Struthio camelus: one gene and its partner. The protein of the gene in region 1 interacts with the protein of each later gene in a pairwise test. Links are inferred from orthologs where the notes say so. Each region holds a gene or a part of one and is shown on either strand. Other genes may lie near its edges.

Evidence for each region. The genes of interacting proteins can lie anywhere in the genome.
Region 2: the proteins of STX1A (region 1) and SEC22B interact in binary tests that used the Homo sapiens proteins (3 or more experiments, as listed by UniProt). The link is inferred for Struthio camelus from reciprocal best matches to the Homo sapiens genes STX1A and SEC22B.

The regions. Positions count from the first base shown.
Region 1 is NC_090957.1:9,028,273-9,035,770, reverse strand, and holds the start of STX1A (syntaxin-1A), read left to right. Parts: upstream 1-4,498; 5' UTR 4,499-4,563; coding exon 4,564-4,593; intron 4,594-7,498. UniProt on the Homo sapiens protein: Plays an essential role in hormone and neurotransmitter calcium-dependent exocytosis and endocytosis.
Region 2 is NC_090949.1:9,408,279-9,415,743, forward strand, and holds the start of SEC22B (vesicle-trafficking protein SEC22b), read right to left. Parts: upstream 3,028-7,465; 5' UTR 2,938-3,027; coding exon 2,782-2,937; intron 2,564-2,781; coding exon 2,454-2,563; intron 1-2,453. Other genes in the region: PACS2 (phosphofurin acidic cluster sorting protein 2), read left to right, coding at 3,395-3,522. UniProt on the Homo sapiens protein: SNARE involved in targeting and fusion of ER-derived transport vesicles with the Golgi complex as well as Golgi-derived retrograde transport vesicles with the ER.

The DNA.
Region 1 (7,498 bases):
GGGTCATGCACCTGTTGAACTGTCAAACAGGTGAGGAATGAACTTGACTCCTCAGCTCCAAAGGCTGGGCAAAACCCTCCTGGCTTACTTGCAGCCCAGAGTAGCAGCAGAAGGGAGGTGGCCAGAAACAAAGCACCTCCTGACTGCCACTCTGAGCTCACCCAGCAACTGGCTCTGGAAGCTGGGCTGGAGTGCTTTCCCTGTGTCCTTGCCAGAGCCAGGGACAAAACCTGAAAGAAAAGCCTCTTTGTTGAGCTAATTTTGAGAAAAGCCAGCGCAGTGGGTGGAACACCTTGTTTCAGCTGCCCTGGCATGCACGTGCAGCCTTTGCTCCTAACATAGCGCTGTGTAGGTCCTGCCTGTTGCTCACTAAGGCCCAGAATGGCCTTTGAAGACAAACACAATACTGTGTACCATGCAAAATTTGTCTTAGCCCTTGCTGCTGCGGAGGGCAGCCAGTCTCTCCCTCTGCCGAAGGGTCTCTGCCCCTTGCGCTCGGTGTCTGTCTGCACTGGGTGTCTGGAGCGTCCTGGCTGACTCACCTTACCCTGGCAGCCGCAGCCGGACTGCACGCTGCTTGGCGTGGGGAGCTGTTGCAAAGGAGCCGCTTGTTCTGCTTTGTTTGAGAGCTGGAGGGGTGACAAGGTGAGTGTCCCCAGTGTTCTGCCTGGGAGACAGAGCAGTTCTCTGCTCCCTGCAGCGTGGGGAACTGAGCTGGAGGATTTGAGTTGATTTTATTTAAGCAATGGTGGCGTTCCCAAAGGGGTCAAAAAGGGTGTTTGTACTGAGTGCACTGGGAAATGCTGGGGGGATCCTAACCCCGTTTCCTCCCGTGCAGGCCTGGCTTTCCGGGAGGGCTGCCAGCGCGGAGCGGGGCGCTCACCCCGGAGGACAGGGCCCTTCCTGGCGGGGGAGCCACGCCCTGACAGAAGGAGCATTTGCAGCATCGAGGACGAAAATTGTTTTCTTCCACGGCCTTTCGCGACCCGGCACACGAGAGGGCTGTGGGTATTAGTGGCGTTACAGCGGGCCCGGCGCCGCGGGGGGCGGGAGGCAGAGCCGCGGCCGGGCGAGGGGCTGCGGGGGCTCCCGCCCGGCTCGGGCCCGCGCAGCTCCGCGGGAAGCCCCGCCGCGGCCCTGGGGTTCGGCCCCGCCGCCGCCGCCAGGCAGCGCTGCGCCCCCAGCGCTGCCGCTCGGCTGCGGGGGAAGCCAGGGCGCGTCCGAGGCTGCCAGGCCGGGCCGCGCCGGGCCAGCTCTCCGCCTCCCGGGGCTGCCGCTGACCTGCCCCGGGCCCGGGCGATGCCCTGCTCGCCTGCAGCTGCAAAGAAATCGCGGAAGAGGCCTGTCCCGCACAGGGCTTGGGCTGGGGGCTATCGCTGCCAGGCCACCGCCACGGCCTGCCCGCTGCCACGGCCTGGCCGTCATGACTACTTGGCCACCAGTCCAGCCTGGGGCCACTGCTATGGCCTGCCCAGCACGATGACCCAGCCATCGCAGCCGTCACAGCATCACTGCCCACCGCCGTGGCCTGGCCACTGCCATATCTTGGCCACCACTACGGTTTGGCCACTGCTGCGGCCTGGCCAGCATGACAGTCTGGCCACCGCTATGGCCTGGCCTTCACCATGGCCTGGCCACTACTGTAGCCTGGCCAGTACAGTTGCCCACCCACTACTGTGGCCTGGCCATCGCCAGAGCCTGGCCACCTCAGCAGTCCTGGCCACCACTGTGGCCTGGCCACCATGGCTTCACCAGTGCTGCAGCCAGGAAGAGGGCGAGGGGGCTGCCCCAGGGGATCATGGCGTTACTAGTGAGTGATGAGTCAAGGCTTTGTACAAAGCTGTGCTAAAGGGGAAACTATATGCAACTGTTTTCAAATCTTGTCCATTAGCTTTGATAAGTCACAGTTTAATGAAATAGCTGAAGAAATAAAACCTAATCTGTTCTTCTTTGAAAGTTGAGCAAAGCATCATATGGATAATTTTATTAGCAGAATCAAGGTTAAATGAACACTTTGTCAACAGAGAACTGGCAGCCAGCACAAGGAACAAAAGGCATTTCTTTACTTGCAGCCACCTCATGCCTGTTGGCCACAGTAGTATGAATGGATCTAGAGGCAGAAGTGTGACCTGATCTGCGCCAGCAGGAGTTCAAGAAAACAGTTTGCCTAGTAAGTGAAGATGCAGTCCTAAGAACTGTTTCTCCCATCCTGGCCACTTCTCCTTGCCATAGCTCTGTGCTGTTCCTGCCTCTCATTCCCTTGTATGCTGCCCCTTGAAGCAGGAGATCTTGACACCCACAGCATCAACCCTCAGGGCAGCTGTGCTGGGGACAGGGCAAGTGCAGATGTACGTGGTAGATCTGAGGTTCTCTGAGCCACTGGAGGAAAATTTAGGAGAGCAATGCATGAAAGCCCAGAAAGAGGGCAGCAGGGAGGAACTGTCAAAATTCTTCAGGACCAAGTTTATCTAGTGAAAAAGATGTGTTTGGAGATGGTGTGGTGGAGAGGGTAAACCTGGTGGTAATGATGCACTACAGCAGCACCCATGAAATGGTTCTGTGTTTAGGACCTGCTGCATGAAGCATCCAATGTTGTTCTCATCAGGAAATGGTGGTGATTTGCCTTCAAAGTTCCCCATGTCGGGGGGCTGACCTAGCACTGCAGCACAGGAGGAGCCCAGGCCATGCACTACCCCCTTGAGTTCTAGCCACAGTAGCCATCTCCTGGCCACCTCGCTTCGGGCTTTGTCCTGAGATGGAGGGGGGCACGTGAGTGTAGCTGGTGGAGCCCAGCTTACCACCATCCTCCTGCTGACCCTATTCTGCTGCCATGTTCCTGCTGGGTGCATTGGGTAGCAACCAGCCAAGAAAGTACCTAAAGGGCTCCCAGGATTTTCCTCTGAATTTCAGTCTCTCCATTAACACTGATATGTTGTGATTTACCAACCAGCCAGTGCACATTCATTTCATACTCGTACATCAATTTTCTACAATAGGCCAAAGGCATCTTGCCTTTTTCAGCCTCTAAAATCAATCCGGGTCCTATGAATATTTAATTTAGGCTTTTTGATTTCTTGGTAGAATCATTTAAAGAGAAAAGCAGGGTTTGTTCAGGTTGTCTCATCAATGTATATGTACAGTTCCAGGAATTTTAAATGTGTGAACCTGAAGGATCACAGAGAACAGATTTTTCTCATGACAGTTGGAGGTTTGATGACTAGGCATTTTCCAAGGGAAAAGGAAGCAGAGTTCTGCTGGGAAATTTCTGCTTGACTCAAATCAGGCTGTTTCAGGACATGAAAAGGCTGATCCTGTGCAGAGTCATGCCTGGCACTGGTTTTTCTTGAGTTTCTCCATGGCAAAGGGCTGCTGGAAGGAGGAAACCGAGGTGCACCCCAGCAGGAGGGCCTCTGGGTTAACCCAAGGATCCCAATCTCATCCAAGGGCAGCTGGAGCTCAGGCCAGTGGCCCTGAGGCATGAAGATGGAACCAGCTGGCCCTGTGCCACTCTGGTCCCATGGGAATCCCTGTGTTTCCTGGGCAACTGGACCAGGGCCCTCCGGCTCTGGCAGCTCCCAAGTTGTGCATGCAGAACTCCCTGCAGATAGGCCTGCCAGGAGCATGGGGTTCGGGAGAAGCCATTTTGTTTTGATCCCATCCTCTGCTGTTAAGCAGGCAGGTGGAAAAAAAGGGCTGTGGGAAGCACCTCCCAGACACTGCCAGTTCCCCCAGAAAGCACCTATTTACACAGCAAACCATGAGCTGTATGAATGCACTGGGCTATGGCTGCCGGTGGCCCAGCACGGGCCAAAAGGCACCTGGGGGCGAAGGCAGTGCCATGCCAGCGTGGCAGCCCTGGGTACTTGGAGCTGAGGAGTTAGTGGGGGCTGGTGAGCCCTCTCTGCCCTGTCACCTCCAGCATGGGGGAAAGCTGCAGCTGCTGGTCGGGGGCTGCGGGTGTGTCCAGCTCGCCATGCTGCACTACCTGCTTGAGCCCCACAGGCTGGTGAGGAGCCTGGGGTCCCCCAGAGCAGACCATGCCACTGCCCCTCCTGCCCCATCTCTGGGTGGGGGGTTTGGCGAAGCCCCGCAGGGGAGCCCCCAAACCATGCTGTCTGCTGGAGCCCCAGGACTGGGTGCTGCCTCTGTGCTGGGCCCCCCCGTGTGAGCACCCTCGTCGGGGCTGCCCTGCCGTGTGGCCCGAGGCGAGCCCCCAGATGTGAGCCCCAGGCGTGAGCCCAGCTGAGCCCTGAGTGTGATCCCCGGCTTATTTCCCCCAGAGGCGATTCCCCAGATGTTATTCTCAGGGGTGATCCCCAGGTGCGACCCCCCCCCCCCAGGCGTAAACCTCCTAGATGTGACCTCCCTCCTTAATACCCCCCCCAGGTGCGACCCCCCCCCCCAGCCCCGACCACGCGCCCCACGCGCCCCACGCGCCCCCCGGCGCGGCCGTTCCCAGCGGCCCGCGGGGCCGCGCCCCCCCCGCCCGGCTGCGGCGCATGTGCCGTCCCGCCCCTCCCAGCGCGGCGGCCGGAGAGCGGCGGCGCCGAGCGGGCAGGCAGCATGAAGGACCGGACCGGGGAGTTGCGCGCTGTGAGTACCGCGGCGGCGCGGGGCTGCGGCCCCGGTAGGGCGGGCGGCGGCGGCCGCCGCCCCCCAGGTCGTCCCGCTGCCCTGGGGGCTCCGTGGGGGTCCCGGGTGGTGGCGGCCCAGGGGCTGGGCAGCCCCGGCGGGGGCGGTGCCGGCGCGCCCAGCCGGTCCCGGCCCGCGGCCCTGCCCGTAGGGCGCCGCGGCACCTGCCGCGGGATCGCCCGGCTCGGCGGGGGCGACCCGCTCTTGCATCGCCCCCGGCCCGGCGACCAGCTTCCCCCCGCAGCGGTATCGGGGAATCCGTCCGGGGGCCCTGGGACCCCGCGGAGCGCGACCGGGGCCTCCTCGGTGCCCGCGGGGCCCCTGCCGTGCCCACCCCCGCGCAGGACTCGGGCCCAGCCGGGTGCGAGGCGCTCGCCTGCCGCGCGAGGCCCGTGGACGCGGGAGCTCGCGCGAACGCGGCCCTGCGCCTCGCTAGCGCGCCCGGTGCCGCCTGGCGTCGGCGCTGCCCACGGGCTTTGCACGGACGTGCGTGCATCTGCTGCGTGGGGAGCATTCGCGCTTGGAAACCCCCTGCCGGGAGAGGGGATGAGGAACAGTCGATCTCGGGGAGAGGTGTTTCCCCCAAGCAGGACGAGGTACCCTGAGCACAGAAATGGGAAAAGGAGCATAAGCTGATTCGTTAGGTCATTGTATACTGATGCAGTCACGAGTGGTCTAGACAGCAAGGCTTTTTCCAATGTAAACACCTTGTACCTCTTCTCCTTTCTCCCCTTGATTGCTGTTTGTGTGTTTGTGGGTTTTTTTTTCTTTTTGGGCATCTGTCTCTTGATGCTTTTGTTTTCTTTTCTTTTTTTTAGTTAGAGTTGCTGTACGCATAGCTGTGTAAGGCAGCAGGGTGCTGAATGCTTTCAGCTGGTGCTGCCACTGAAGGACATCATCTCTCTTCCTCTGGTCCAGCCCCTGCTTGTGCAGCCACGTGATGAACTGCTTCAGGGACTGATCTAGCTGAAAACTAACCCAGCCTTAAAAAAAACCCCATATATATATATATATATATATATATATATATATATATATATATATAAAATTTTATAATATATATATATATATATTATATATATTTTTCATCTAGGCTAGTTTGTATGGAAGAGCCTTTATATATGGGGATGTCATGAGGGCAAGAGTGTGCTAGCAGAGCAGGGAAAGGGTCTTTTCCTGTGGCTTCGTTAGACAGCAGGGCTAGCCCTGGCTGCCTGATTTCAGCCTGTAGTTTTCTTCCCAGGTTGGTTTCTCTGGTGCTCGCCCATTTTGCTTTTTCATTCTTTTCAATCTGCTGATGTCATCTGGCTAAGGAAGAGCCCAGAACTGCATAGCGTTTTAGGTGCAGTCTCACTGGTGTGTAACACAGACGCTGTTGCACTCTTGTTTTTTGCCCAGCCATTGCACACCTGCAGCCAAAGCCTCACTGGTGCTGCTGCTCCTGTGTTATGCTCTTTCTCTTCTGTCTTCTGGTATGTGAGCCTTGTGCGTTCTGTGAGGCTGCAGCCGAACGCTGCAGAATCTCAGCAGTTCCTGTAGAAAAGATGTTCTCCAACTTTCCTTGCTCCTGGAGTAACCTTTGAAAGAAGAGCTAAGTGAATGAATGATGCCAGATATGCCTGTGTTTGAAGGTGGTTTCAAACAATAACAAAGTGATGTAAACAGCTACATTGAGGTCAACTGAGTGTTAACCTGGCACTTCATGGTACTCCTAAAAATAACTGTTCTCAGCTTTTCTACTTTGGGTTGTATACTATGCAACACCTTTTTTTGTTAAGGCCAATAGGTATTTAGCATCTTTAGAGGAGCTGCACCTTGCACGCTGGATAAAACTCCAGCCAGTATTAGTGTCCCAAGAGAAGGGTAGCTTTATGTCTCCCAGAGATCATGGTGAAGTCTGGAAGATCCAGGCTGTGCGCAGTGTCTTAAATTCAAATCCTGCTTTAAGAAGGAATGAATTAGATTATAACTCTTTATTTTGTTTGTTTGTTTTATTTTTTGTTACTTCATCACTGGGTCTGATTAGCTGTCTCTGGCACACAGGGACCAGAGTGAAGGGAAGGAGAGAGCATGTTGGGGAGAGGAGGTGGGTTTCAAGTGGGGAGAGGATCTGTTGTGCAATCTCTGCTGCTCTACCATCTGAAGGGAGGATATAACTTGCAAGAAGGGAGGGGAGTGGTTGAAAAATAAAGGAAAAGGTAAGCTGAATAGTTGGGAGAACTTCTGGTGTTGAGGCCAGGCAAGTCTCTAGAGACTCCACTTGGATGTCTTAGTCTGGAAGAAGTCAGAAATGTGGAGCTCTTTCGTATTTCTGTGACGTCAGCATGGGGAAGCAGGGCGTGGGTATATATGCTTGAGGAGGAAGGGACTATATAAAGAAAAAAATGCACCCGTTCTGTTCAGCCAAAGTAATTGGAAAGCACCCAAGACAAGCAAGTCTTCTCCTGTACAGTGCAGACTGAAATAAAATCAGAAAATAGGCTTTTTTAATAATAATAGTAAAAAGCAGTCCCATGAATGTCCTGTTGGCAGCCAGTGCTGGCTGAGAAGTGATACTGCTAGGGTATTTTAAAATCTCTCCGTGTCTTTAAATATGTTTTTTTTTTTTTAAAAAAAAAAAAAAGTGCTTTAGCTTCTATTCTGCTGATGTTCCTTATTCAGTGAAATTTCTGTAGCTTAGTGTGTAATGATGAATAAAGCCTGGGAGTGGGGTGGCGTTCTGCTCAGCAAAGAGGCTTTCTTGCATCTCGCTTCCTGGGGCTCCCTCCTTGCCAGCATCGCGTCTCGCATGTCTGCAGCAGTGGGGTGGCTGCTGGGTGTGTGCTGGGGAAAGGCCGTACCCCTGTGTGCATCCTGCAGGGTCTGT
Region 2 (7,465 bases), on another chromosome or scaffold:
AACTTCTATACTACAGATTTCCACACGCTAATTTTAGCTGCTAGATTTATTTTATTTTAGACCTTTTTGAAACAGAAAAGCTTAATCCTTATAACTGGTATCAGAGTCAAAGGCCAAGAGTTGTTTTCAACATGACAGGTTAGTAGCGCTTACACCACTAACCAGCCAAAGGTCAACTAATGACTGACAGCACAGCAGTCTACTACACAGGTGCTTCTGCACCTGCATGGCCCTGTGTGCTAAGTACTGTAGCTCAAAGGACAGCACAGCTTTCAGATCTGAAAATCTAAACATTACATTTGAGAGAACTTGCTTCAGCAGTCTTAGTGTGAGCTTCACATTTTGTCAAAAAATGAGACTTTTCTCTGAATTGATCAAGCTAGAAGTGCTCAACATCACTTCAGCAAGTTCAGCAATAGCCTTAGCCGTACTTTTATGTTTTACATCACAAAATGTTTTGTCCTGGGTTATGCTGTCCTCAGCAGCCACAGCTCTAATTTAAAAGTCAGCATTATTTTAGACTAGGTCTCAAACTCCTCCCTCTCTTCTCCTTCATGTAGCGTTATCACAGGAGACATCTTTTTCTGACCTGAAAGTCGTCGTCTTTTCACATAGGTCCTGCCTGAATGTTCTCTCTTAAAAGAGCCATCGCTTGACTGCTTTGCAGCTCTCAGTTGCCTGTGGATTGACTCAATGCAGTAGGGAGACGCTCCTTTCCCCCCTTCCCAGCCAGCTATACAACCTTGTTGTTTCTTGGAGCCTGCTGTCCAAACATGAACCTGCCCAAATTACCCTGGCTCTTCAGACCCGGTGAGGTTAAAGCCACCGGAAGGAGGTTCTGGTTTTCTGGGCAGCACAACCAGAACAGCCTTCCTGGACGTTGTTCTAGTAGCACGGGAAGCAACACAGCAAGGGATTTACTACGAACTACAAAGGCTCTTTCCCCAAAGCCCCCCCAGTCAGAGTGACACCCAGGGACACCAGACACGGTGCAGTGCCAGAGAAACACTTACAAACTGACAGATTTCTAGAAGATGCTGAGCAGCATTTTGCAGTTAACTCTGGGAACAACGTCCAAGCTGCACAAGCAGATAGGAACGGCCAGACTATTTGAATCAGTGCCCCACCTGACCCATTATAGCCCCTATTATCAAGGGCAACCAGAAGCCAGGGGAGGAGGAAAAAAAACCATAATAGTTGAACATATGTAAGTCAACCATAAGAAACATTGGCCCCAAAACCTCATGGTTTTTGCCCAAGAGCTGGCCTATAGCCCTTCCAAAAGCTTCTGTTCTTGTCTTTCCATGTCAATGCATCTCTGAACATTTAAGGGGCAGGGCAGGAGAGCTGTTAAAGGGCCCCCGTGAGAGAATCAGAGCCCTAAAGTCATGCCTTGCCCAGGATTCAAAGGGTGTCTCCCACTCACCCGACCACAAACGTGCCCCTGCTCACCGGGGATGGGGAACTGGGGGAGGCTGGGGAGGCAGCAGAAGTGGTGCTAAGTGTTATGAAGCTTTGCATATCACTGGCAAAAGAAATTTGCACAACTCTGCCTTGCTGATCCCACACGGGCTTGTTTTTATAGCATAATTATTTCTGCTAAGAGCATAATTCTGATTCTTGACAAGATCTTGGCCTTGATTAAATCCTCCAGCAATTTATCTGTTCAGTAATTACATGCCATTGTAAAGAAGCTTTTCATTTTCTCAAATAGGAGCTTGCCTGCTCTTCTTCCTTTCATTGGCTGCAAATTCTTCCTCTTTTACCTTTCATTCACAGTCCCCTTGCTATTCATTAGCAGTTAAGGATGTCTGACCCACCTTTGCTATAAGTTTTCATTATTTTATATTCAAATTCCCTTATTAATGTGTTACTGGGAAAAGCCAAAGATGTTTTTAAGCTACAAGCTTTCAGGTAATTTAGGAGATTAAACATAACCAACACATTTGGCAACAATGTAATCAAATCCATTATTTTTGTGGGGGAGAAAGCTTGTCAGATGTTAAGGAAATTAACAAAATAAAAAAGCCAGAGAAGCTGTATGCGTTTCTACATGTAAAACTAAGGCATGAAAAGGTATACCCTTGTGGGATATGCATAGAGGAGAGTCTTGTGCAGGAAGAGCTCACAGTGGTGGTGCTAGCCTGCTTTCAGCAAGGACTTCTCTTTTTAAGAGGAGAAAGACACTGAAGCCACAGGAAATCCACGAAGGGTAAAAAGCAATATGGGAGGGTGCAAACCCACAGAGAAGGCTTAAGGGAAACACAACCTACATAGTCTACAGCCAAGGCCACAGAATAATAAGAAAGGGGATGAAAAGCGAGTGCCAGGAAACACTGCCAGCGAGGAACAACTTAGACGCTCCCTTCTTAAAGCACCCACACAACGTTGCAGCTGGCAGAGACCCAGCAGCACCTTGGGGCACCTCCCGGCTGGCGCCTCGGGATACTCACTGGAAGGCCATGGCTCCGGCCTCGAGAGTGCACCTCGTGGGGGACTGCTCGTTCAGCTTGCGGAACAGCTGCTTCGCCTGGCTCTGGTACTGCTGCAGGTCGCGGCCTGACTGAGAGGGGAGGGCAGGCGGTTGGCGGCGGCCGCCCGCGGCCCGAGCCGCCCCGCCAGGCCGAGCAGCGGCAGCAGGGCACCGCCGGCGGCACCGCGGCCGCCCCCCACCCCCCAATCCTGCCCCGCCGGGGCCCCAGGCCCAGCCCCCGGCCCGCGCCCCACCGACACACCGCGCCGGGCCCGCCCCCGCCCAGCCGCGGCGCAGCACGCCCGCACCTGCTCGTCCTCCTGCATGGAGGCGGCCAGCGGGAGCCCGTCCGCCACGCGGGCGATCATCGTGAGCAGCACCATCTCCGCGCCCCGCTGCGCGCCGCCGCCGCCGCCGCCGCCCGCCCCTGCCACGGAGATGGACGGAAACCGCCAGCGCAACATCCGGCCCCTCCGCGAGAAGCCGCCCGGGCACTTCCGGCCCCGCGCCAGCACCGCGTCCGGCCGGAAACACGGCCCCGAAGCTGAAGGGCCGCCGCCGCCGGGGGCGGGGCGGGGCGGGGCGGGGCGGGGCCCGCGCTCGGCGCAGCCGGCACCGCCGCACCGGGCGGCTCCTGCGGCGCGGGGCCCCGCCCCTCCAAGCCCCGCCCCTCCGACGAAACCCCGCCTATCACGACCCCGCCCCGCCCAATCCCTGCATTTTAACCACGCCTCCCACAACCCCCCCTCCCCGCTTTAGCCTCGCTTTCCCCAAGATAAGCCCCGCCCCCTGCCGCCCCCTCCCCAAGCCCCGCCCCCTCCCCAAGCCCCGCCCCTTCACGTGACCTCCCCGCCGCGAGGCGGGGCGGGGCGGCGGCGCAGGCGAGCGGCGGCCCGGTGGGCGCGCGCCAGGCCGGCAGCCATGGCGGCGGCGGCGGAGCGGGGCCGCCTCAGCTTCCCAGGCGGCGCCGGGGCCCTGGGGCGGCCCGTGCCTATGAACCTCTTCGCCACCTGGGAGATCGACGGCTCCAGCCCCAGCTGCGTCCCCAGGTACCGGCGGCGGCCGCCCCCCCCCGCCCCTCCCCACGGCGGCGGGCAGAGGAGCCCGTGCCCCGCCGCGAGGCCCGGCGCCTGCCCGCGCCCCCCCCCCCCTCCCTTCAGGCGCGGGGCCGCCCGGCTCCCGTGCTGCCGGTTGCTGCCGGGGTGGGGGGCAGGTCCCCCCCCCCACCCGGGGTTCGGGGCGGGGTGGGGGCGCAGGGCCTGGGTGACCTCCCCCCGCCGTTGCCCCCAGGCAGCCCCGGCGCCTGCCCGGGCGCCGCCGCCCGCGGCCGGTCCCGTTAGAGGCGGCCGTGCCCTGCGGCAGCTGCCCGGCTGCGCATCGGTCCGCTGCGGCCGCTCTGCCGCGTCTCTGGTCAGCGCGGATGCAATTCCTGCTGGGCTTTTCCTTTTTCCTTTTATTTTTATTTTTATTTTTAAAGCCTGTGCGGGAGGGAAAATCCCTGCTAGGTTCTGTAAAATTTGCCCTTATTGTGTCTGGCCGGAACAACCGCGGCTGAGGATTGCAGCGTGCCATGCAGCGCGCCTCTTGTCTCGTGGGGACGCACCAAGCGAACAATAAGGGAACCGAGTCTCCCGGCCGACCTGGCAGTAACGTAAAGCTTATAAAGCCTCTCAAGCCCCCCCTTACCTTTTGTGCCATCTAGGCAGTGGGTTAGACTCGGTGGCCGTGTCCCCTGTCTCGCAGGGCTAACGTTTCGCTCATGGTAACTATCTTGGTTATACATTCCCCAGGGTAACAGTGCTTTGACAACATGGGCAGGAAGATAGCGCGAGGTAGGAGAAAACCCGAGTCCTGCAATTTTGGAGGGTCTTGGTTTATGACAGCTTATCTCTCCTGGCAGCGCCTTGGAGTATCTGTTGTGCAGCAACTTTCTCTGCTTGTCTCTTGTTTAGCCCTTTTTTCTGCTGAGAAACGTGGCCTTGGAAGGGGACTAGCACCAAGCGGCATGGGTCCCTTTTCAAGGAGTCCCTTTGCTGCGGAAGGAGTGCCTTATGGAAGGAGATGGTGGAATAGTTGGCACGCTTTTCATTTTCGCGCTAGCTTTTGGTTCCTGTGAAGTATTCACAGCCTTTCAGGGAAAGCGCATCCACCCATCGGTCCTTGTGGTGTGTAGAGGACATTATAGGCGCTCTGATAACACTACTTTGAAAACTGCTGTCTCCATTGCACCCTGACTTTAGGAACATCGTTGGGTTTCCATCACATCTGACCTTGCAACAGTGCTTATTAAAAGAAAAAACAAATGTCCGTAGCTGTCAAGGACTTTCAGTTCTGCATTATCATTTATGCTGATACTTGCAGATATGAGAACTAGCTCACAACATAGCTTGCTTGTTTGTGAATCTGTATGTGACTGGGACAATGCAGCATAAGGACACTGGCCCTGCCTTGGTGTGTGGTGGGGCGTGGAGGTGGTGGCATCTTGCTTGTTGAAATGTCTTTGGGTCAGGCAGGCAGCAGGTGGCTGGCAGCTGGTTGAGGTGCCTGTAGGAATCTGGGTGATGTGAAGGAAATGTGGATATCTGTGCAGGTGGGGCAGAACTGGAGTTCAAGGAGCAAAGCTTGGAGTCACTGAGGCAAGCTGTGAAGCAGGGGCTGGTGGAAATGGTTGGATTGCAACCCTGTGGCCTGAGGCAGTGGTGGGAGGAGTGGGGCAATTGGGACCTGCTGGGAATGTAGCTCTTAACTAAGAGAGAGTTCAGGCGTGGTGGTGGTGGGTCCCTCTGGTGTCATCCCTCTTACTGCTATCACCTTTGCTTGCTGCTCCTGGATGACCTATTCTCCTGGAGCCCAGGAGGGTAGGCAGACATACAGCTGTCCTGTCCACCACTAGTGATAGGATGACCAGGCCTTACCTCAGGCCAGCTGGATGTGAACTGCTCCACATGGGCTGTGTGGATGCTTTCCCCGTGCATGAGAGTCCTGTGTAAGGTCTGCAATTGTAGCTGTGCATGACAAGCGTTTTGTTAATCTAAAATTAAGTCAGAAGCAGATGAGATGGCCGCTTTCACAGAGATGTTAGTCTGATTGTACGGTAATGTGTGTGCTGTGCTGCACAGGCTGGGCAATCAGTGAATTCTGTAGTAGCAGGGGGCGTGCAAAGTCTGGATGCTAAATTCTGCTGTTTCTAACTATTTAGCACTGTGTCTTGTGATGCTACATAAGGTTGACGCTTTGCATTTTATTAAAGGCTTTGCACAAAAATATGTTGGAGAAGGAAGGAGTTTGAAAACCTCTAGGTTATACTACTGCCGCTGTATTTTAAGTTCATATTGTAATAATTTTTCCTGTGAGACGAGGGTGTTTAAGACGTTAAAGTGAGAGAGATTGGGAAGAAAACTGTTCTCCGGGGGAAACAGTATTCAAAATGAGCATATTGTTCAGGCAGACAGCTACTGGGATGTGAAAGGAGAGCGCAGAGGAGAGCGGGCTTTGCTGTGTGGTCAGGTGGTGTGGAACTGCCTTGGTATCTTCTGAAATTTCCACCAGTTACGAGTTCCCCTCTGAGTCTCTGTTGACAGGACAGGCTCTGTGGTTGATGAGAAGTTTGAACTTGGTGGAAAGTCAGAGGATATGCGGAACAAGGATGCGTGTTTGGGGAGGGAGCGTTGCTTCCTTCCTTTTTTTGTTATGATAAATCTTACTCCATTTCTTATATGGTGAGTTGGAGCAGAAGGACCTGGGTAGAAGCAGTGCCTGGAGCAGGCTGTGGCTGTACTGATACAGTACAGTCCTGGATCTGAGTTACTGTTGTTATTTCTCTTTACCACATGTGTATCTTGGGGAATGTGATGTGTTGTGGGATGTTCGCCTGGACAGAGCTTGCCGGTAAAGAGAGTTAAGGGTAAAGGACTTTTGGTGGGTTGTACTGTGTGGCTGGTAGGAAGCCTTGAATTGTGTGGGTGGGTATATAGATGGAGGTCCTCGTGCAGATGTGGTGTGTGCCGTCCAAATGACGGCTGAGAACTGGACTGTGGGAGGCAGTTCTCTAAAGGGCTGCTTTTCAACAAGGGTCTCCCTGGGGGTTTGATTTATTGAAAGTTCATTCCGCTTGGAGGTCTTCAGTAAAATCTGGAAAGCTCTTTTGGTGCCTCTGCAGAGCTTTCTTGTGTGAAAAGGCTGTGTGTAACCTGTGGAAGAATAATAGTAAAGAGCTATAGCATTATTCTGCAGCAGTGTGCTTTGTATGAACTACAAGCTTAGATGGTGTTTTGCACTGGTGCTCGTCTCCCGTTCTCTTCTGCCCGTTGCAGAAAACATCTAATGCGTCTTTGACATGTTTATTCTTCTGGTGATGGCAACCATGAAAAAAATATCTGGTAGGCAGCTGTTGTATGCAGGTTTTCCAGGGGTGTTAGTGACCGTAACGCCCCAGCCAGGCAGGATGCTCTGTCCAACCATGTGCTGGGCCAGGCGATGTTGCCTTTCTGGGTGGTAACCCCCAGCTAGCTCTGTGCCTTTCCAGATGCCCGAGAGTCATGGGCACAGCTCTTCTTTTGGTGTACAGAAGACTTTCTGACTTCCTTCTTGCGTGTGCGTAGCTCCCAGAGCTTTTTGATAGGAACGTTTCTGAAATGCAAGTCCTTTCTTTTAGTCATCCCAGAAACATGACTCAAACTCTTACTATCTGGGTGTAACTGTTACATACCAGAAGGGAGAGATGCCTACCTTCTTCTCCCCTTTTTCTTGCTTTTGTGCATTGAAATGCTTTCCTTTGTGGAAGGACACATACCTGTGAAAACCAAGAACGATGTCCTCACAGCCTGATTGTAAGAGGATCAAAACTTTTTCCTCAGTTTCTCCACATTGAAAAATAGGATTTATTCCATGTTCGGATTTTTGTTTTGTTTTTCTATATTATTTTTTTTTTCTCTCCAAGCTCTCTCGAAGAAGCTGTGGCAGAACACAGTACTGTCCTGTCTTACAGGGAGC